Linked DNA regions of Mus musculus. The protein of the gene in region 2 purifies or fractionates together with the protein of the main gene of each other region. This does not show direct contact. Links are inferred from orthologs where the notes say so. Each region holds a gene or a part of one and is shown on either strand. Other genes may lie near its edges.

Evidence for each region.
Region 1: the proteins of Strip1 (region 2) and Ppp2cb purify together in Homo sapiens (affinity purification with mass spectrometry; 6 studies listed by BioGRID and IntAct, counting the BioPlex papers as one, with this or other methods). This does not show direct contact. The link is inferred for Mus musculus from reciprocal best matches to the Homo sapiens genes STRIP1 and PPP2CB.

Annotation. Positions count from the first base shown.
Region 1 is NC_000074.6:33,613,188-33,623,694, reverse strand, and holds the end of Ppp2cb (serine/threonine-protein phosphatase 2A catalytic subunit beta isoform), read right to left. Parts: intron 8,246-10,507; coding exon 8,156-8,245; intron 8,030-8,155; coding exon 7,868-8,029; intron 6,669-7,867; coding exon 6,550-6,668; intron 4,574-6,549; coding exon 4,501-4,573; 3' UTR 3,891-4,500; downstream 1-3,890. Other genes in the region: Ubxn8 (UBX domain-containing protein 8), read left to right, coding at 459-533, 1,995-2,165.
Region 2 is NC_000069.6:107,615,961-107,626,367, forward strand, and holds part of Strip1 (striatin-interacting protein 1), read right to left. Parts: intron 9,790-10,407; coding exon 9,721-9,789; intron 8,772-9,720; coding exon 8,665-8,771; intron 8,555-8,664; coding exon 8,427-8,554; intron 6,095-8,426; coding exon 5,912-6,094; intron 5,585-5,911; coding exon 5,367-5,584; intron 4,315-5,366; coding exon 4,249-4,314; intron 4,144-4,248; coding exon 4,080-4,143; intron 3,023-4,079; coding exon 2,951-3,022; intron 2,431-2,950; coding exon 2,356-2,430; intron 2,196-2,355; coding exon 2,098-2,195; intron 979-2,097; coding exon 852-978; intron 649-851; coding exon 548-648; intron 1-547. UniProt on the Homo sapiens protein: Plays a role in the regulation of cell morphology and cytoskeletal organization. Required in the cortical actin filament dynamics and cell shape. Part of the striatin-interacting phosphatase and kinase (STRIPAK) complexes.

The DNA of each region.
Region 1 (10,507 bases), on a different chromosome or scaffold from region 2:
CCCTATGGCTTTTAAATTGACAGGTGGTGCATCCATATAGTACACATGATGCTCTCTCCAGTGTGGTGCATGGGGTGGTGGGTAGTGAACCCAGGGCGTTGTGTTGCTAGGCACTCTTATACCAGCTGAGCCTTATCCCCAGGCTAGCTAGAGTTCCCATCTGGACTTCTGTCTTGTTCCTGAGATGAGATCTTGCTTTGTCACTTAGGCTGGCCTCAGATTTGCATCTTCCTACCTGGGCATCCTGTGTGGACCATAGGTCTGGGTGACCACTGTAGCTTACGTTTGTTTTTTTTGTTTGTTTGTTTTTTGGGGGAAGGGGGTTTTCGAAGACAGGGTCTCTCTGTATAGCCCTGGCTGGCTTTGAACTCAGAAATCCGCCTGCCTCTGCCTCCCGAGTGCTGGGATTAAAGGTGTGCGCCACCACGCCCAGTGTAGCTTACATTTGTAATCCACAGGTAGTTACTGTTGCCCTTCGATGCCCAAATGGACGTGTTCTGAGGAGAAGATTTTTCAAGTCGTGGAATTCACAGGTGAGGAAACCAATGTTTTCAGAAATATTGTCTTATGAAATTTGTCAACATTGTGTTCAAATGCAGTGGGAGACAAGACCACACAGACAGACAATGTGAAGGTTCTGCATTGCAGACTGAGGGTTTAAGTTGTGATCTCTACATTAACATTGTGTTTTCCCCTTCAATTTTCTTTCTTCATTTTTTATATTAGGAAAGAATCTTAAGTCTTCAGGCAGGCATTCTCTGAGCTGTATTTCTTTGGTTGTTTACTACATTTACGTTGGTGGGTAAGATACTAGGTTTTGCTGAGGCTAGCTAGCACTTACCCTGTAGTCGAGGCTGGCCTGAACTTGGTGTCTGTGATAGCTTCCCAAATGACTGGATTCTAGGCATGAGCTGCCACACATGGCCTCTTATTTTAAAAAGTTTAAATTGGGCCGCAGTGTAATATGAGTATAATGCTTCCACTGCAGGGGTCGTGGATCTGACACAGGGCAAGATTGTGAGTTCAGAGCCAGCTAGGCAGACTCTGACTCAAAGCAACTGTAACCTTACTGTGAGCTAAGTGGCAGAGTGGGTGCTCAGCACGTGTAGAAAACTGGGGTTCAATTCCCAACGCTTCCAAAACTGTCTTAGTTAAAATGATGACAGATTTATTCTATAGGTCAGCAGTGGATTCTTGCCTGGTGGCTGGCAATATAAGGCTCTGGTTGAATGATCTGATACTTCAGAGTCCCTGGGAACATTATGTCTCTGCCATTTATCAGGCTTTTGTTGTTGAGACACAAGATCTTGCTGTTGCATGGGTTTGTCTCAAACCCAGTAACTTGGTTACAGTAATCCTCCAGTCGTAGCTTTGGCACTACAGCTATAATGGAAGCAACCACACTCAGTTTACTGTTGTTTTTGAAGCAAAACATGCTTTGTTTAAAATGTCATGTGTTGAGGCAAATATGATTTCAGCTGGATGTGGCAGGAAAATGTTTCTCATAACTATGTGATTTTTTTCTTTTCTGTGGTGCTGGACAATTATAGGAATGGCCCATAGTGAGTGGACTTTGTCTCAGGTGCCAAAACATGTATTTTGACAAAGCTTTTGGTGATTTTGATCCAAAATTTTTCCCAAATATTTTGTTTTCAACTTTGTTGCTGTTTTTTCAAGACATGGTTTCTCTGGGCTGGCCTCAAATTCAGAGATCCCTCTGCCTCCCAAGTGTTGGAATTAATGGTGTCTCAAATTTTTACTAAGTATTTTTCATCTCATTTATGGATTAGGTTTTGTTACTACCATGACAGTAGGCCCACATATTCTCTGCAATAGAGACATTAAAGTGTAAAAGGATTACTTTGGAAGATATGGAAATGATTTTTAATTCCTAGGGACTGGATTTCAGGATGACAGAGCTATACAGTGCTACAGTGATACATTCTGGAGGAACAGTGTACAGTCTGATACTTCTTTTTTTTTTTGCCTCTTAGGTCTTACTTGACTGGATGATGAAAGTTGGGTACCACAAATCCCTATATAGACTTTCCAATTCCTTTCCCAGAAGGGCCCTGGAAGTGGAGGGAGGCTCGTCACTGGAGGACATAGGAATAACTGTGGACACTGTACTTAACGTGGAAGAGAAAGAGCAGAGCAGCCAGTAGAGAGGCTGGAAGCACCTGCTGCCCTTCCACAGGGCGGTGTTCATTCAAGCCCCATGCACCTGGAGCTCCTCTCGTCCACAGGTGTACCCCGCCCACACCCCGCCCACACCCCATGGATGAGGACCGCTTTGCACTGATGGTCTGTGGCCTGTCATTATAATGTGAAAGGAGGTAAAAAGAGTAAGACAGACCTGGATGCAAGCCTCAGCCGGGCATGGTGGGACACGCCTCAACTCCCACAATTTTTGAGTTAATTAGACCATCTTCAAACCAAACCAAACCCTAGCTCATATAAGAACTGGTTCCTGCTTGCGTCTACCTTACCATAAAGTATTTCACAATTCAGTCAGAATCTAAGGAGGATGAAGGGACATTCTATTGTATTTCTAAAAACTTAAAGAACTCCCAGAGCCAACTGATCCTGTATAGTTTTGACTTAGATCTGGGGATGGAGGTCTGGTCCATGAACCTTGGGGAACATAGTGAAACCACAGTAAACAAGGCCATTGTTGTTAAGTGCATTTGGAATGTGAACTGTCGTTTGTCTACAAATTGATGCCCTTAGAGCATCTCTCAACCTGTGGGGTCCTGTGGGGCTCAAATAACCTGTTCATAGGGGTGCACCTAAGACCATCTGCATGAGATTTACATTGATGATTCATAACAGCAGCAAAATTGCTTATAAAGTAGCAATAAAATAATTTTATGGTTGGGGGGTCACCACAATATGAGGCAATGTATTAAAGGGTTGCAGTATTACAGAGGTTGAAAACTTAAGTCTGTCTTAAGGTATCTTTTTTTTTTTTTCGTTTTCCGAAACGAAACTGGGGGGCAGAAGCTCAGCTGGTAATCCTAGGTCTTGGGAAGGGGGCAGGAGGATCAGGAGGGTTCAAGGCTACCTGGGCTACATGAAACCCTCTCTAAAAATTAAAGATTAAGAAAGATAACTTCCGCTGGGCATGGATGCACACGCCTTTAATCCCAGCACTCGGGAGGCAGAGGCAGGCGGATTTCTGAGTTCGAAGTCAGCCTGGTCATACAGAGGGAGTCTCAGGATGGCCAGGGCTACACAGAGAAACCCTGTCTCGAAAAAACCACCAAACCAAATCAAACCAAAACAATCATTCTACAGCTAGATATTAAGTAAACCCTAGAGCTGGTGTTTATGACCTTGGAATACTATCATTACCACTGCTACTAAATAAACAGGCCAATTCCTGTTTTTAGGTTAAAGGAGACAACCTAGCTCAGCTTTTAAAGTCCCTTCTGTTAGATTTAGAATATAGTTATTAAAGCAATCTACATTTTGCACTTAAAATTATGAATAAATTAATATGAACCACCTAATGAAATGCTTAGATATGCAACAATCGCCTTTTCAGTGGTCTAACAGTTATCAGTATTTTGACTTTGTTCTGCTTTTGAGTGTAAACTATAAACAAACATTACTTCTGCAGTACCTGTGCACATAACTTGGAATTGAATATAAGGCCTGGGGTGAACACCCCACCAGGCGAATATGTCAGTACAGCTGCCTACTGTTATTACTCAGCAGATATCTGTGGCCTAGCAAGGAGCCCCATACTGGCAATTCTATCCCTCGGAAGGAGAGCCAGGAGTATCAAGGAGATTCAAAGTCTAAAAAACAACCAGCCACAGTTCTAAGTATTTGTATAAAGTTTCAAAATGGCGATGCTTCCATTTAATGTACATCACAGTTAAAAAATGTTTTTCTCTAAATCGGAAATTTTATTTGTTCAGTACACCAAATAGGATGCAAGCACTGTCATGACAAATATACAGAAATATGCAGCTCAACATCCAACAGTAATTTAGTTTAGGAAACTTTAAAGGAAATCTCTTTAATGTTATGACAACATACTCCCAAGAATCTCTTCTTCAGTTAGTCATACATTTCAATAAAATAAAGGATTATGAATTGAAGTGGAAGTCAGCTTGTGAATTCTTAAAAAATAAAACTCCAACTCTATAATCCATGCCAGTTAAACTTGTTAACTAAATTTCCAAGTAAGCGCAAAGGAGACGAAGCAGTCAGTGACCCTTTTTGCTTAACCAGTCAAGAAAAATGGTCACTACCGCCCAGCAGGCAGGCTGTGGGCTGACTCATCTACAACAGTGTGCTAGAGTTCACATTGTGCTAACCGCTCATCATTAGTATGGCACGTTTTGGTCCATGATGTGTTTTAATGTCAAGACATATCACAATTTGTTACAGAAACACAAATAACTGTTGTTTTTAAATATATATGTATATATATATATTTTAAAAAGCCAGGTATACTTCCACATACAAAGACAGGTCCTGGGGAGGAATTTACAGGAAGTAGTCTGGGGTGCGCCGGGTCACATGAGGCTCTCCACGACGAGGTGCTGGGTCAAACTGAAGACTAAAAATGACAAAGAAAATGGTCAGCAAGTAAGCCAGCCAGTAAGACGGAACAGACTGAGCCTCCTTCCTGTAGCTTTCAGCAACGCTGCATCCCACGTGGCTGGGATGACCCTGAACTCATTCGTCACTAGCAACCACACAGTTAGCACTTCACAGCTATGGTGAAAATGTACACGTCTGTTTGTGCCCAGCAGAAGAGAACACTGAATTTTACCAAGTGCCTTTTCTGTCAAAATAGCTATTTGTCTGTTGTGTGTGTGTTTTAATATTAATGTTAGTACACTGACTTTTTCCTATTTTTTTTTATCAACACTGTGGTCTTGGGATAAATAAATGCTATTTGTGTTTTCCTTCTCCAACAGTCCTGAAAGGATGCAACTAACCATAGTAATACGCAAACACTCACAGGAGTCAGGATGTATTCCCAATTTTTTGCCGCTGTAGTTGAGATGTGGTTTCATATAGCCTACAGTGGCCCCAAACTCGCAGCACAGGCTGTGAAATCCTGATCTCCCTGGCTCTACCTTGTCAGTACTGGGATTACAGGCATGCAAGTAGCACCATGCATACATAGCAAGTGTTTTATTTGACAAATGTTTCTGAAACCAGGTTTCATGTATTCCAGGCTGGCCTTGACTCAAACCAACCTGCTTCCATTTCCCAAGTCCTGGGATTACATACGTGCATCACCATGGCCAGTTTACAATGATGGGCTTGAACCCAGGATTTCGTGTATGCTAGGATAAACAGAGTACCAAGAAGGCCGTAACGCCCAGTAGTAAAGGCTTTATTAAACCTAAAATAAGTCAATTTTTAAAAAGGTTTGTTTATGTATACGAGTACACTGTAGCTGTCTTCAGACACCCCAGAAGGTGGCATCAGATTCCCATTACAGATGGTTGTGAGCCACCATGTGCTGGGAATTGAATTTAGGACCTCTGGAAGAGCAGTCAGTGCTCTTAACCTCTGAGCCATCTCTCCAGCCCCAAATAAGTGACTTTTAGTTACATGTATGTCAGATCCCTGGAACTGAAACTAGAGGTGGTTGTGAGCTGCAGTGTAAGCGCTGGGAATGAAGATGGTATCCGTGGAAGGTCAGCCGTGCTGGCCACCAAGGCACTTCCTAGGCCCCCGGGCGGTTACAGTTCCTCTTTTTGTCTGAGTCTTGTTTGTCTTTCTAAGATAGGGTATGTCTGTAGTCCTTGCTGTCCTGAAATTCATGTAGAGCATACACCAGACTGGCTCAAACCCATCTCTGCTTCTGCCTCCAGAGTGCTAGGATTAAGAACTTGTACCACCACACCCGGCTTATGGTTCTCTTAAATGTTTTTCTATTAGCTGTAAGCTCTTGGGAAAGTTTCAATAAACTGTAGGCAGAGGCGGGTGGATCTCTGTGAATTTGGAGCCAGCCTGGTCTACAGAGTGAGTTCCAGGACAGCCAGAGCTACAAAGAGAAACTTTGTCTTGAAAAAAAACAAAACAAAAAAAACCCCACTTTCTGCAGCAGTGGCCTAGCAATGCAGGAGGCCATGGTTTACGAGTGCTGCACATCAGAAAGTTCTTGAGTTCAATGTTGGGGAAGAGGGTCTGCACGCACACTCCTCCTCCTCCCCTGTCATAAGCAGAGCTCTTTTTTTTTTTTTTTTTTTTTTGGTTTTTTGAGACAGGGTTTCTCTGTATAGCCCTGGCTGTCCTGGAACTCACTCTGTAGACCAGGCTGGCCTCGAAATCAGAAATCCTCTTGCCTCTGCCTCCTGAGTGCTGGGATTAAAGGCATGTGCCATCACGCCCGGCTTCCTGTCTCTTTTCATACATGCATGTGTGTATGAGTGTATGCACACATGTGTGCAGGTATCTATGGAAGTCATACTAGACTGTAGTTAAGTGCTCTGAGCTGCTGAGCCACCTCTCCAGCTCCCAAGGCTATTTTCCTCTAAAAGTCATTACATACAATTAAAATGTAAAGTTACTTACAATGAATATTTTAAAGTGTCATCTAATTCCATGATAGCAGCCTGGTTCCCACAACGGTAGCAGTAATTGGGCGCACTAAAAATGGTGACCACATTCCGATCATGGCACCAGTTATATCCCTGCAACATTAAAAAGGTCATTGTTTCATTATAAAATCCAATTTTGACAGATCAAGTCACAAATACTTCGGTGGCTATGTTACCTTTTATAATCTAAGTTTATGCAACTGTTCAGACTTTTAAACATTTATTAGGTACAAGATTCTATTATATACCTCAGTAACCATACAGCTTTTCTTAACCTACACTTAAGATTTTAACTTAGAATATACACTGAATTTCTCAGAAAACCATAGTAACTTCCCCATTTTCCTTCATAAACTTTGCTAAGTATTTTATTTTATTTTGAGAAAGAATTTTGCTATTTAGACTACCCTGTTCTCAAACTTGCAATTGCCCCAGCCTCCCAAGTGCTGAGACATGATAGAAATGAGCCTGGCTTCTAAAGTTTGCTACTAAGTTTGCTTGAAACTCGTATTAGGCAAATACCAACTTAGAATATGCTCTCCCAGAGAGCTGAGCCCATGCTAACCAGCCATCTTGACAATCACATTGTCACCTGTGTCAGAGCCTCTGCCTTCCATCACTCGTGATGTTGGGTGGTGTTTACTTGACACATAGCACACCATTCTCATCTTTGTTATGTTAAATGTTTCAGTTTTGCCTCAAATAGCTGAAATTTGATTATTTTCTAATTTTGGAGTCTCAGGACTTTTAGGAATGTTAAAGCTTAGTCAAATTTTTTCTCCAAAAATATTATCATCACTGACATCTGTGCTTGCCAGTATAATGAAGTTTAATGTCACTTCGTGTATGTGCTTTGCATCCTGCCCCTACCCCACTCCTCGCCTGCTCTAGGCTGGTGAAGTTTGTTCTACCTTCTTAAAGCCACTACTTGCTGGTTAGAGGGACTCCGTTCTCGTTTATTCCTTTCGTAGTGACAACACTAACACAACAGGAGAAATCCAGCAATTGCTACCTCAACTGAGTGGTCACGGAATAGAACCAGCAGTGGACAAACAGCTTTCAAACCTCCTTGGTGAAATGTAGCAAGGACACACACAGCAAGCACACTCCTCAGTGTGCTCCTCTAAGCAGCATGGAGTCATCATCTCACTGAGCTCAAGTCTCTACTGAGCGCCTTCTGGAAGAGCAATGTGCTCTTAACTGCTGAGCCATCTCTCCAGCCCCTACTGAAGGTATTATGAAGCCTTATGACGGGTGCATGCGTACACCACGAGAGCAGGAAAAGTACATACTTCCATTACAAGCTGGTGAGCACGAGACACCAGTGTGAGACCGTTGGCATGGTTAAATGTTTCAGAAATGTCTTGTCCAAATGTGTAGCCAGCACCACGTGGAGAAATGCCCCAGCCGCCACGGTCATCCGGATCTGACCATAAGAGATCACACATTGGGCCCTGGATAAGGAGAAAGAATATGTGTGCACTGTGAGTTAGGATACTTAATTGAGTTACCCTTCCCATATGTGATTACACTTTTTTCTCCCTTAAAATCAAAATAAATGAAGTAACTTCGAAAATCACCTCATGTGGAACTTCTTGCAAGCGATCCAGGGCTCTTATGTGGTCCAGTGTATCTATGGATGGAGACAGGCCACCGTGGAGGCAGAATATCTGTTTTTCAATTGAGAAGAAAATGGTTTTGTTTTTATAATTGCTAAATTAATGAACAGTTAAGTAGCGGTTGCAAAGGTTAGTCATGACAGCTTTTTCTTTTTCCAAATGGTATCATTAGCTGAAAGATCTGTGAACTACAATGCAAAGCAGAGTCCAATCACCAGCAATAACCTCCACAGCAGTTCCCGTGCTCAGGGTTCTTCTCTTCCCCGGCTGCGGTCCTGGGGATGGGAGGGCCTTCCACACGCTCTAGTCTGAGCCGCACTGTGGTGTCTGCACAGTGCGTCTGCTGCACAGGGCGCTCGCTCACCACCCGTCACTGTGTTTGCGGTCACACACCTGGTTTCTTTCCCAACATTAACATCCTTCTGATTCCCATTATAGATTACAATATAGATTTACTGAGCACATAACCACTATTACATATACTTTCCCTATATAGTGTATCACCTGTAATTCCTTTACACACTTATTTCTCACTGTATGATGTGTAGAGCCCACCTAACAGAGATTGGGGCAGCTTTTGGGGTTCTCTCTCTCCTTACACTTTACTTACCGAGTCACCTCTCCTGCACACCTGCTAAGTGCATGTAATTTGCAGGTCTACATGTTAGTGGGTGCACATGTATGTGCAGGCCTAAGGTTGGTACTGTTTGCCTCGGATCACTCCACCTGACTCACCAGAGCCTGCTGCTGTGGTTAGACAGCTAACCATATCATCCCATCATCGAGAGAGGGGTCACAGGTGGGCGCTGTGCCCTCCATGGCTGCTAGGTATATAAACACCAGCCTTCATGCTTGCAAAACAGCTACTTTATGTGTTTACAAATTAGGAAAAAAATGTTGGTCGCCCCCGGCCACCTCCCAGTTGTCTTTAGTTCCCTTTACTATAGAGTGTATCTACAGGACTTCTGGCAGAAAGTGGGATAATATAAGCATTTAAAATTTTTTTCTTAGGACTATCCTCTGATTATTCAAGGACTATACTATGAATCAAAGAGAATAATGAATATTTTAGTGAACAGTTTCATATTTGTTCACTGACAGGGTCAATGGTGTATACAGCCCAGGCTAGCTTAGGAATCAACAATTCTGCCCAAAGCTCCTGAATGGATCTATATGACCCTAGCAGTCTTTTCTCCTGAATAGATCTGTATGACCATATCAGCCTTTTCTCCTGGCTCTGCTCAAGTTTGTAATGGGTCCCTAAATAAAGGAGACAGTTAATGGATTTTCTAAAAAAAATTAGCACTGAAGTTTAAATCACAGATATAGACACACCCCCCCCCCGCCCCAATTGGTTTTATCTTTTTGTGCTTGCTATATTTGGTTGACTATTGAACTTACACATTAAGCATAAGGCTTCAGTTTTATTTTATATTTTGATTTTGGAGACAGAAGCTCTATAATCCTGAGTGCTGGGATTACAGGCAGGTACATCATGTCCATCGATGAGGATTTTGAGGTTTTCCACCCCCCCAAGCTCCATGTTTCTTAAAGGCTCAGCAGATGCTGTGAAGCCTGACAACTTCACTCTGATGTAGGCCAACCTCCCTCCCTCCCCCATAAACAAATATATATAAAAATCCCCCAAACCACCACTGCCACAACAAAGCAGATCTGATGCTAGATGGCCCAGCCAGTCAAGATCTTGCCATATAGGCAACTGAGCCCCAGCACCGATGTAAAAAGCCAGGCTTGACAGCACTGCATGGAAGCTCAGTGGAGACACAAGGCCGTCTCTGACCAGGCCTGCTACCTGAATCGTAAGCTCCAGGTTCAGTGAGAAACCCTGTCTCAAAAAGCAATGTGCAGCCGAGAGTGGTGGCGCACGCCTTTAATCCCAGCACTCAGGAGGCAGAGGCAGGCAGATTTCTAGTTCGAGGCCAGCCTGGTCTACAGAGTGAGTTCCAGGACAGCCAGGGCTACACAGAGAAACCCTGACTCAAAAAAAACATAAAAAGCAATGTGCAGATCAACCGAGTTACGACAGCTGCTTCCAGCCCCACGTGCTTGTCCCCACACACTGCACACACGATATTTACATCTGGTTTCCTAGGTCCCAATATACTGAACACTATGAAGGACCTAAGCCTGTCACTTCCTTCCAGGACCCTGTGTACCATTTGTTTTCTCTACTTGATTTCTGAGGTGTCTTCCAGTAATAACATTTAATAAATGATAACCTGTCACAATGGTGTGTGTAGGCTGGCTGTTTTGTTTCTTATAAATATTTCAAAAACAGTAAAGGCTGATGAG
Region 2 (10,407 bases):
GAAATACCTGCTATAAGATGGTATGTACAGTTGCTCTGTGACTCAAAAAGCTTGTAATGTAATTACTAACTGTGAGGGGTGGAGACACTATTGCAGCTTTTCCCTTCACATGAATCTGGGAGGTAGGACTAGAGACAAATGATTTATGCCAAGCCCTCTTAGAGGCCACAGCTAACTGGATTCCCTTGTGATGTCTCACACTGACAAGCAGGTGCTACCGGGTACAGTGGGTACAAGGAGGCTGTGAAGAGTCCACGAGAATCATCAGAGAAGGCTTTACAGTACACAAAGCCAAGCTCTGTACAGAGACCTGGAAGCAGAAAGGGAGGAAGGATAGAAGTGGCAATTACAGAGCCTAGGGTGAGAGCCTCCTGGTCACTAGCGTAGCTAATCCCATAACTGACACTCTGTCATTCATTATGTCTTTTTTGAGGCCTGGTAGATAGATGTTTAAAGAAAAAGTCTGTTCAATAGTCTCAGTGGAGAGGCAGCTGGAAGTCTTGCCACCTGTCTACACCACCCTTTCTTGGTCTCTGGTCCTTATCACCTGTTCTTGGCAGTGATGTAGGACATGATGTTTTGATTGAAGAACTTCAGGATCAAAGGGATGCAGTTGGCAAATACCAGGTGCTGGGCCATGTATTCAAACTGAAACCAACAGAAGAAAAATAAGCACAGCCCTGGTTCTCTTTTGTCTAGAGATAAAAAGCCTTGGCTGGAGGCCCTCGTGTTAGAATGCTGTGCAGAGGTCAAGTGGGCTCGGAAGTGAAGCCCTACTCTCTGGGCTAGGGGAGCTGCACTGCCAGAGGCCCCGCCCAGCGCACAGGAAGGAAGGCAGATCCTGCAGGTACCTGGTAGATGTGGTTCAACTTAAAGTGCTTGAGCAGCAGCAGCAGCACGGCAGAAATGGCCTTAACGATGACCTCTTTGTGGCGGTTCACATCCACCCCCAACTTCATGCTCTGCAGTACTGTGGTGCTAGGAACACAAGCGCCTGGGTGAGTTACCAGCACACAGTACCTCCTTCCCAGGTGTCCACAGAGGAGATGGGCTTCAGAACCCTCTGGCAAAGGCCTACGATCCACAGACACCTCGGAGGCCAGCCTTAGGGTTCTATCTCCCAAGTGATCCAGCGGGAACAGCTTCTTTCATCTCGCCAATACACACTCAGTCCCTTTCTCTGCTTCTCCTCCAAAACTGAACTTCTTTTCTTTTCCAAACTCTCCCTAAGCTTTGGCCACTCTATTAACCTGAGTTCCCCAAAGTATATTCTGTGGAACACCAGTATGTGGGGAAATTCCACTCTACAGTGGCGGGGTGGGGGTGCTGAAGTTAGATTTAGGAAGCACTGAATTATACCTGTTTCTTAATTCAGGACTTCTCACTGCAAATCTTCAGAAGAAACACAGTATTTCTGGGATTATCAAGATGGCCTAATGTTCTGTGAACCTCCCTCTGGTATGAGCCAATCCCTGCCTCTCCCTCACTTGGATACCACCACTATGACCACCAGACCTGGAGATCAGCTCAGAACAAGGCAGCCCTGGCAAGCAACAGATCAGGTGTGGGCCTGAGTCTGTCCTCAATGCAGAATATGACCTCAGGCTGTTCTCTTCCACGAAAAGACCTTTCAGCCAGAGAGGAAGAACAACAGCTAAGAGTTTCACTTTCTCCTCTGAGACATTTGCCAGGGGTCTACCTGCCAGTTGACTGGCCAGTGGGAGAAACTCCACAAAGGCACAGGCTCGGTGGTGGCAAGCAAACTGACCAGGAGCTAACCATCCTATGCAAGGTGTGCCAACCACACAGCTCTAGAATAAGGGCTCTGAGAGAGTCTACTGCCCATCTATTTACAAAGAAAAACCAGCATACCTAATTCACTTAGAAATTCACTCAGTGACAATCTGTGTTGGCATCAGGCCTAGCCATCTCCCTTACTAGTGAAACTTATCCAATTGATTCCTTTGTCTGAATCAGAAATACCCTAAACTTCACCTGCAGCAAAGCTGGGTCAAGGAAGGCAACTCACCTGAAAACTCCTGGCCCCACCCTTCCACCCTTGCTTCAACCTGTTCCACTCATGGCCCTGACACTCACGGCATCTCCTCGGGCAGAACATCTGCCAGGATGTTGATGGAGTCTGTTTTGGCTTTCGATGTGGGAGCTGCTGCCAGTAGGATCTTCAGAAGGGCAATCTGGGAAAAATAGACCACTCAGGTGAGCATCAGAACCTAGGACCACAACGATGCCCTGAGAAGTGGGACTCCTGAGGGTCCTCAGGTGGCAGGAGCCTTGCAGGCTGAAGGAAGGAGAGCAGCCCGTGCTCCTTCGCGGTCTCAGACACAGAGAACTCACCATATACTGAGGCAGGCTGGGGAGCAAGCCTTGATAGAGGGTTTCTGCAGGAACTTGTTCAACTTCCTCTTCTCCCTTTAACACAAAAGTCACACAACCCATGCTCAGGCTACAGTCCCCTGAGGCAGTTTACTAGCTGGCTGGAATAGAATCTCTAAGTATCAAAGTGAAGGGTGATGTTGGTGATACTGACAGGAGGCTCTGAAACATATGACATCCCAAGAATGTCACCCGGAATCATTTAACTAATTCTTCATGAGGTACCACAGTCATGCATGCTAGCAAACACTTGTAACCCAGCACCGGTAAGGTTGGGAAAGGTGTTTGAGGCCATCTGGGCTACAGATAGATGATATCTCAAATTAATAAGTAGATAAGAGAGAGAGACGGCCTTAGTCTAGCGCTGGTCTTCTTTTACAGGTAGGAAACAAAGCACAGAGAGATTGAGTTTTATGTTCAAGGTGCCATTCACAGACTGAAAGGAAGACATGGATGGCAATCTATTCAAGGAGAGGCCGACTCCTGGAGCAGCCTTGTGGCCAGGCCCGGCTCAGAGACTGAGAGCAGTTGGGGACTTTGTGGTCTCTTAACTCACCCCTGAGAGAGGAGAGCGAAGGTATTCCTCCTCCATCTGTGCCTGGACCTCTGCGATTGATGTATACTTGTGCTGGAGAGAGAGGCAGGAAAGAAGGTGCTGAGGAAAGACACCCCTCTTCTCTGGCCAGACTCCCCCCTCACCTGGCAAAGACCCAAGAGTTTATTTTGGCCTTCTGAGAGAGGGCTAAGTCACAACAAAGATTCCTAACTTAAACCTGCAATCTACTTCTGACAAAAAAGCCTGTGTGAAAAGCGCCCATAGAGGTTAGCAAAAAAGCAAAATAAAGTGGAAAGGGCTTTCAGAAGCAAAAACGACAGGAGGGGGCCTGGAGAGATGGCTCAGTGGTTAAGAGCACTGACTGCTCTTCCAGAGGTCCTGAGTTCAAATCCCAGCAACCACATGGTGGCTCACAACCATCCATAATAAGATCTGATGCTCTCCTCTGGTGTGTCTAAAGACAGCTACAGTATACTTACATATAATAATAAATAAAATCTTTTTTAAAAAATGACAGGAGAAAGATATCAGAGGCAAAACTAACTGTATTCTTAAAAGCCTAGTGCAGAGACCACCTGGTACTACCAATTTCAAAACTGGACTTTAAAATGTTACAGTTTAGACACACTGGAAAGCCTCCTGACCCCTGGGGTCGTCTCTCCGCTAATCCTCACACCCACAGCTCCCTCAGCTCCCTCTCAGCAGTGAGCACAAGAGGAAAACAGGATGGTCTGGGACTCCACCTGCCTGCCTGCTGAGAGCCTGGGTCCTGTCTGCCCTCCACTCCAGCTCTCTGGGCCTGGGAAACTGAGCTTGCTTGGTTTATAGAGTATGCTAGAGCACACCCACTATGGTGCTCTTAAGCCTTGCTCTCCAGCCATGCTATAACCAGCAAAGCTGACAGCACCATATCCATCCGCCAGTGCCTCTCAATTGCCTTATACCTCGTGGGCTCCCTGAACTCTAAAGCCTGGGACACACATATCTGTAACCGAAGTCAGACGTAGGAAGAGATGCTTCCCAGGCTCTTGCTGGCAGACAATAGCCCTGAAAGGCTTCTCCCTTGGCCCAGGCTCACTTTATTCTCCTGGGACCAAACAAAGCCAAACGTTCCCTTAGTGCCACTTACTTGTTTCAATGTCTTGATGCTTTCGTGGATTGGCCTTGGCAGCCCCACCACTGTGTTGGTGTCACTGGAGAATAAAGAAGGCCTTATGCTGAGCCCAGAGAGCCACTCACCGGTCCGCTGCCCCAAGGCCAGGCAAGGGCACTTCAAAGAGGCCTCAGGTCACACTCACCTTCCTAGAGTGTAGCCTATGAACTTGCTGCGGCTGGATTCAAGGAACATCTCAATGTCTTTCTCTCTACCAAGCAAGAAAGAGGGGCAGATTTTATCAAGTACTGCTTCAAGGTGTGCCAGTCACAGGCCTGTGTTCAAACAGACAAAGCATCTCCAGGTGTTTACAAGACAGGAAAAGGTCTCTTACAGTAAGTGGGAAAACCTGAATTTTGACTACTTTGTTTTTTTACATAATTTTGTTAGGTTCATACAATTAAAGTATGTTTATATTTCTATAATACATATGGCCAGTTGACTCAAAATTAGGGACATATATAAAACTTAAAGCACAACTTATTTAAACAATAGTAGTATTTAACACTTATTTAAACAATAGTAGTATTTAAACACCATGAAGTGTAAGAGACATAAGCTACTAACTTTAAACAGGTCATTTTCTTGTCTCAACAGAAACATTCTTCTCACACAACATAGAAAGCTCAGGACATACCCTCTTTTATATCAGTTCATATACACATCTCTTTATTAAGTTGCTGCCTACCAAATATACTTCTTTTTTGATGGTTTTATTTTCAAAACAAGGTTTCTCTGTGTAGCCCTGGTTGTCCTGGACTTGCTTTGTAGACCAACTGGCCTGGAACTCACAGACATCATCCACCTGCCTCTGCCTCTGCCTCTCTAGTGCTAGGATTAAAGGCGTGTGCCACTATGCCCAGCTACAATATACCATTTTAACAGTTCCTGCTACCTTCCCATCTATTAACTCCCCCAAGCATACTGTTTAATACATTGGGTTTTTAAAAAATTCTCCATCTATCATTTTTAAATAAAAGGCCACATACAGCTCCAAGATGAATGGGGATAGGTTTGCCTAAATACTCATTTTTTTCTCCTTGCCTTTGTTCACTATCAAGTTGGACCAGTTCAAATTACTGACACAGGAACCACACAAGGGTTATCTATCCTGTGTGACATCAGCAAGGCCGTCCTCACAGATGTGCCCAGGACAGCACATGGTAACTTAAGGTCATCTTAGCCTTGCAGAGGACTCCAGGCCAACACTGACCTAGGATATGAAGGCTCTCACTTCAAGAATATTCTAGAACTGAGACTCACCTAACTTTGGGAGCCCAAGGGAGCCCTTTTGGGCAGGTGAGTCTGTCAGTCTGAGGGTGCTGTAGTGGGGGAGGCATCACCTCGTCTCGCTCCAGGGGAAAAGCCTCCCCCTCCAGGCTGCTGTCGTCATCATTCTCCTCTTCCTCCTCCCGAGAGTCGTCAGCCTTATAGGGATCCCGCTCGTTGAAGGCATCTAGATTGTCCTGCTTTATCAGAGCCTGAAAGCACAGAGAAGAGCTGAGAAAAGCAGCCAACCAATGAGATGGTGACGAGGAACAGAGTTCAAATGGAACAGACCCATCTCAGATGGGGACCTGACAACAGCAGGGAATACGGAGGATTTAGGACTAGAATGAAGAGAACCTCAGAAGCTGCCCTGATGTTAAGTATCCGCTATACACTGGGGCTGAGGCTGGGGACAGTGTCCCTGCTGTGGAGGCACGCCTCCTGATCAGCTTGATCGGAGCTGGCTTCTCATAACCTGCTGGCCCAGGAATCATGTGCCCCGACCCCACTCCCTGAGTGTGTACTCTGAGATGCCTCACCTTGTGCTCCCGTCGGCCCCGCTTCTGCTGCTGCTCAATCAGGTCTGAGGCAGAGGCTGGTGGGGAGGCAGCCCTCATGTTCCGGATGACCTTGATGCTGTCCTCAGGCAGAGGGGGAAGGCCCAGGAGAGTGCGCTTCTCAGCCTTCATGCTCTGCAGCTCCTCAAAGCCGCCCAGCGTGCACTGCGTAAAATGGGGTGCAGAACTTAGGTCGCCATGTCCTTTTTGGTATCATTATTCTAAAAAGCATGCATGACATCACGAGAACCCAAGCCTTTATAGAGACCCATACAGCCACTTGGATAAAAACTAAAGTCTTTAAGGAGAGTCCCGAGTTCTCTATAAGGGACAAGAGCAAAAGGATGAAGGAAAGAATGAAATACTGGCTGATGGGAGCTGGCGCATGATACACAGCTCTGGATGTGACATAGTCTCTAATTTTAAAAAGAAGCAAGTTAAGCATGGGGTGGTGGCACAGACTGGTAATCCCAGCAGGAGGATCACCATAATTTTAAGTCCGGCCTAGCATATATAGCAAGTTCTAGGCAAGCCAAGGCTATAGAGAGACCATGTTTTAAACCAACCACCAACCAACCAAACAAACAAACAAACAAAGTAGAGCCAGTTCTTTCAAACGTCAGCAGACTAGTGCCTCAAAACTACACGTCAATCTTCCAATAAGACTAAAACTTACTGTGTGTAGCTCAAATGAAATAATATAGCAAAGTAAAATAGAAAGCGGTCTAACGTCCTCACTAGGAGCCCAGGCCCTAGGCTGGAGTCCTTGGCCACTCAGTGCCTCCACTCGAGTAACTCGGCTGTCCTCTCTGCCGGAGTGAGGCTTCCTGAGGAACCAGTAGGTCTGGTCAAGATAAAGCCTGCACACCCTATGAGGCTCTAACTGGGTGCTGAGCACAGCGCTCCTCCTGGAGACAGGGCTCCAGGCTTGCCCGGGGCCTGGTTTCTGACAATGTCCCCATCCTAAGTATGATGGCCAGACACCCAGCAACCATTCTCTCCCCAGGCAGAAACAGAGTCCATTTCACAACACATCCTCAGGAAACAGACCACCTAGGCTCACTCTTGCTTCCTTTAAAAGTCATCTTCTTAGGGTTGGAGAAAGAGCTCCAATGTTCAAGGCTAGGATCACAACTCAAGTAGCAAAAGTCATCTGCCTAGTGGAGTTTTGTTGCCCCAAACCACTATACAAATACAAGTTTAGGAGTGGTCTCCAAAGAGGCATCTTATCTGAGGGTGAAGCTGTTGCACGATTGAGAAAACAGCTTTAACAAAAGCCAGGGAGCCAATCTAGTATCTTGAAGGCCCGCCTCCAACCCCCAGCCTTTTTTGAGACAAGGTCTTATTGCCATGTAGCCTTTGCTGGCCTCAGACTCACTGAGCTTAGTAGCAGATACTGACAAGGCTGAGGCAGGAATACCTCAAGTTTAAGGTCAGACCTTCTGTCAAAAAAAAAGGTAAATGACTGAGACAATGGCTCAATGGGTAAGAGCACTTGTTTCGAAAAGATGAGGGTATGCGTTTGAATTCCCAGTGTTCATGCAAAAAGCCAGATAAGCCGCATGTAAGATTGTAACCCCAACAGAGCTGGGTAGAAACAGTGAGACTTCTAGGAGTGCTTGCCGGATGCCAGCCTAGGATCAGGTTCCAATAGAGACCCTGTGGTAATGGAATACAACCAAGAATGACAGAGCAGGGCTCTCGTGTCTCCTCTGAAGTGTGTACAGCTACACAAGTGTAGGCACAGACTACACGTGTACCAAATACATACCCACATGCACAGGAAATATGCAAATAAATAAAATGTAAAAAGAGCGCCAGTGGGTGAGCTGGAGAGATGGCTCAGTGGTTAAGAACATTGGCTGCTCTTCCAGAGGACCTGGGTTCAATTCCCAGCAACAGCAGCTCACAACCGTCTGTAACTCCAGTTCCAGGGGATCTGGCATCTTCACACAGAAAACACCAGTGCACATAAAATTAAAATAAATAAATTTAAAAAAAGAAGAAGAAGAAGCACTCCAGCACCGTAGCTCAGTGAAATCTGTTTGCCTAGCATGCACGACAAGGTCCTAGGTTCAGTCTGTAATACCACTAAACAAATACTTTTAAACCCAAGTAGCTACATAGTCACATAATTCAGTATTCAAATAGAAATATAGATACTCGTCATTATCCACTGGAGACTGGCTCTGGGAATTTCCCCTCACCCCCTCCCACAGGTAGCTATCACATCCCTCAGTGGATGGAATGGAACTTGTGGTTACCTATGCACAACCTTCTGCAAGCATGAGATCATCCCTAGACTATTTCTAATACCTAATGGTACATAAATTATTGGTACACTGGTTAGAGAATAACAACAAGGTCCGTACAGTCAATACAGATGCAAACTTCATTCTATGACCTGAATTTGGATGCATATAGAGGCCAACTGTACAAAGATGTCTCCTTCCTGCCCAGTGTCCTAGCATACGAGTGCCCCCAAGAAGGTGCTCACCAATACAGTCTTCCAGAGCAGCAAGAGAACTTTCTTCATGGGGAAGTGGGGGGCATGGCCACTGCAAAATTTGGTCACCATCCCAAATAGCATGATGGCAAATGGCTCGTTGTTGTACAGAGGGGAACCTGGAAGTGACTCAAAGATATCAGGACCCCAGGCAGCAACAGAACCCACCCAAAGCCCTCTAGTTTCAGTTCCCAAGCAAGGCCTTAAGAGAGGATGGCCAGGGTCCTACCTAGCTCAGCTCTGAAGGTCTGTCGCATGGTTCTCCACTCGGCCTTGTCCCCATCACAATCCTGGTGAACAGTCTCCACAATCAGGTACATGATGTTGAGCAGGACCCTGAGCACAAGAACCAGCTCATAAGAGAGTAAGACAGGGGGCCGGGGCGCGCTCCGCCACGAGTGGCAGTGCATACTTGTAATACCAGTCCTTAGAAAGCTGAGGCAGGAGGGTCTCAAGATTCAGTAAGCTCTAGGCTAGCCTAAATCTCAAACCAACAAAAATGTGAGGGAGGAGCCCTTGGACTTTCTCCCTTCCTGGCTAAGATGTAAACATCCATGCATGTGGTAGGGGATGGCTGTAATAGGAGAAATGGCCCCTGAGACCCTGGAGAGCAGAGGGGTGTCTGAATCTGTCTTCCCAGACTATAACTCATTCTGTATCCCCAGAGTTTACTCAAACCTGACAAATATGAACCAGAATGGCCTAAAGATTCCACTGCCCTAAGCCCCCTGGAAAGGAAAACAACACTACTCAGAGTAAGCTACTGAGGTCAAAGCAGGCCTGGCAGGATTACAGGAAGGAGGGCAGAGCCGACCCGGTGGAGTGGAAAACAGGAGGTGAAATGCAGAGACCCTGACTACAGGGAGGAGAACCACAGTTCCAATGCCAAAACCTGATTTTAACCCTAAGACACGGAAAGATGGCCCTGTGGTTTAGCAGCTGCTGTCCCTGTGCAGCCATGAAGCACTGTCAGGATAACCAATGTAGGTGGGGATCACACTGTGCCCAGTGGATGGTGGGAGCCCAAGAGCAAGCCCCTGGGCTTTCTCCACAAATAAGGTACTCTACAGCCAGCTTCTTAGCAGATCTATTAAGAGGCTCGATCCCAGATTTCATTTGGATTTTCCAGGCTGCCCCCGTCCCCTAAGATCTCATCAAGGCCTACTAATGACTCCCAGCGAGCCTATCACTTGAGCCGACTAATGAGTGCAAAAGCAATGCACACACAGCTAAGAAATGCTCAGCCTGACCCTGAGCTCACTCTCTGGCTTGCAGCTCATCTCACCTCAGGTCGGTGCTGTCAGCCAGGGAGATGGCAGGCTTCCTCACTGCACTGCTGCATGCGGCACTGTTACTGCAGGAGAGATCTGAATCAGCTTGACAGGGCGAGGGAGGCCAGCGATGCCCTGGGCAGTACTACCCATCAGGCAACACGGTGCTGTGTGCATCTGGGCTCTACACGAGACCTTAGGACACCACTGTGGTTAAGAACTCAAGCCCTGAACCAGACTATCAAGTCTCACAGTGTGAGTTCTGGCTCTAACATTTACAAGTTATGTGGGCAAAGTAAAGCCAACTTCCCTCTGTCTAGCTGCCTCATCTACAAAATCAGGGTGATAACAGCACTTGCGCCACCAACGTGAATCATGATACGTAATGACCCAAGAACATTACTGAACACTGCCTGAAGACGCAGTACTCAGTGAGTGTTTTCACCTTCTACTGAATTTATTTTGTTTTAATTTTGTTGTTTGCTTTTGGATATGGTCTCACTAAGTAGCTCTGGCTACCCTGAAACTCACTATGTAAATCAGGCTGGCCTCTGACTTGTAGCCATCTTCCTTATTTATGATGGCTGTTATCCTTAAACGAGCAGTAGCTGACCTGCCCATAGGACAAAGGACCAGAGGCGGCAAGCTTTGTTGTACCTACATGTCACATTTGGGTTTGGTGTCATGCTGAAGGGAATATC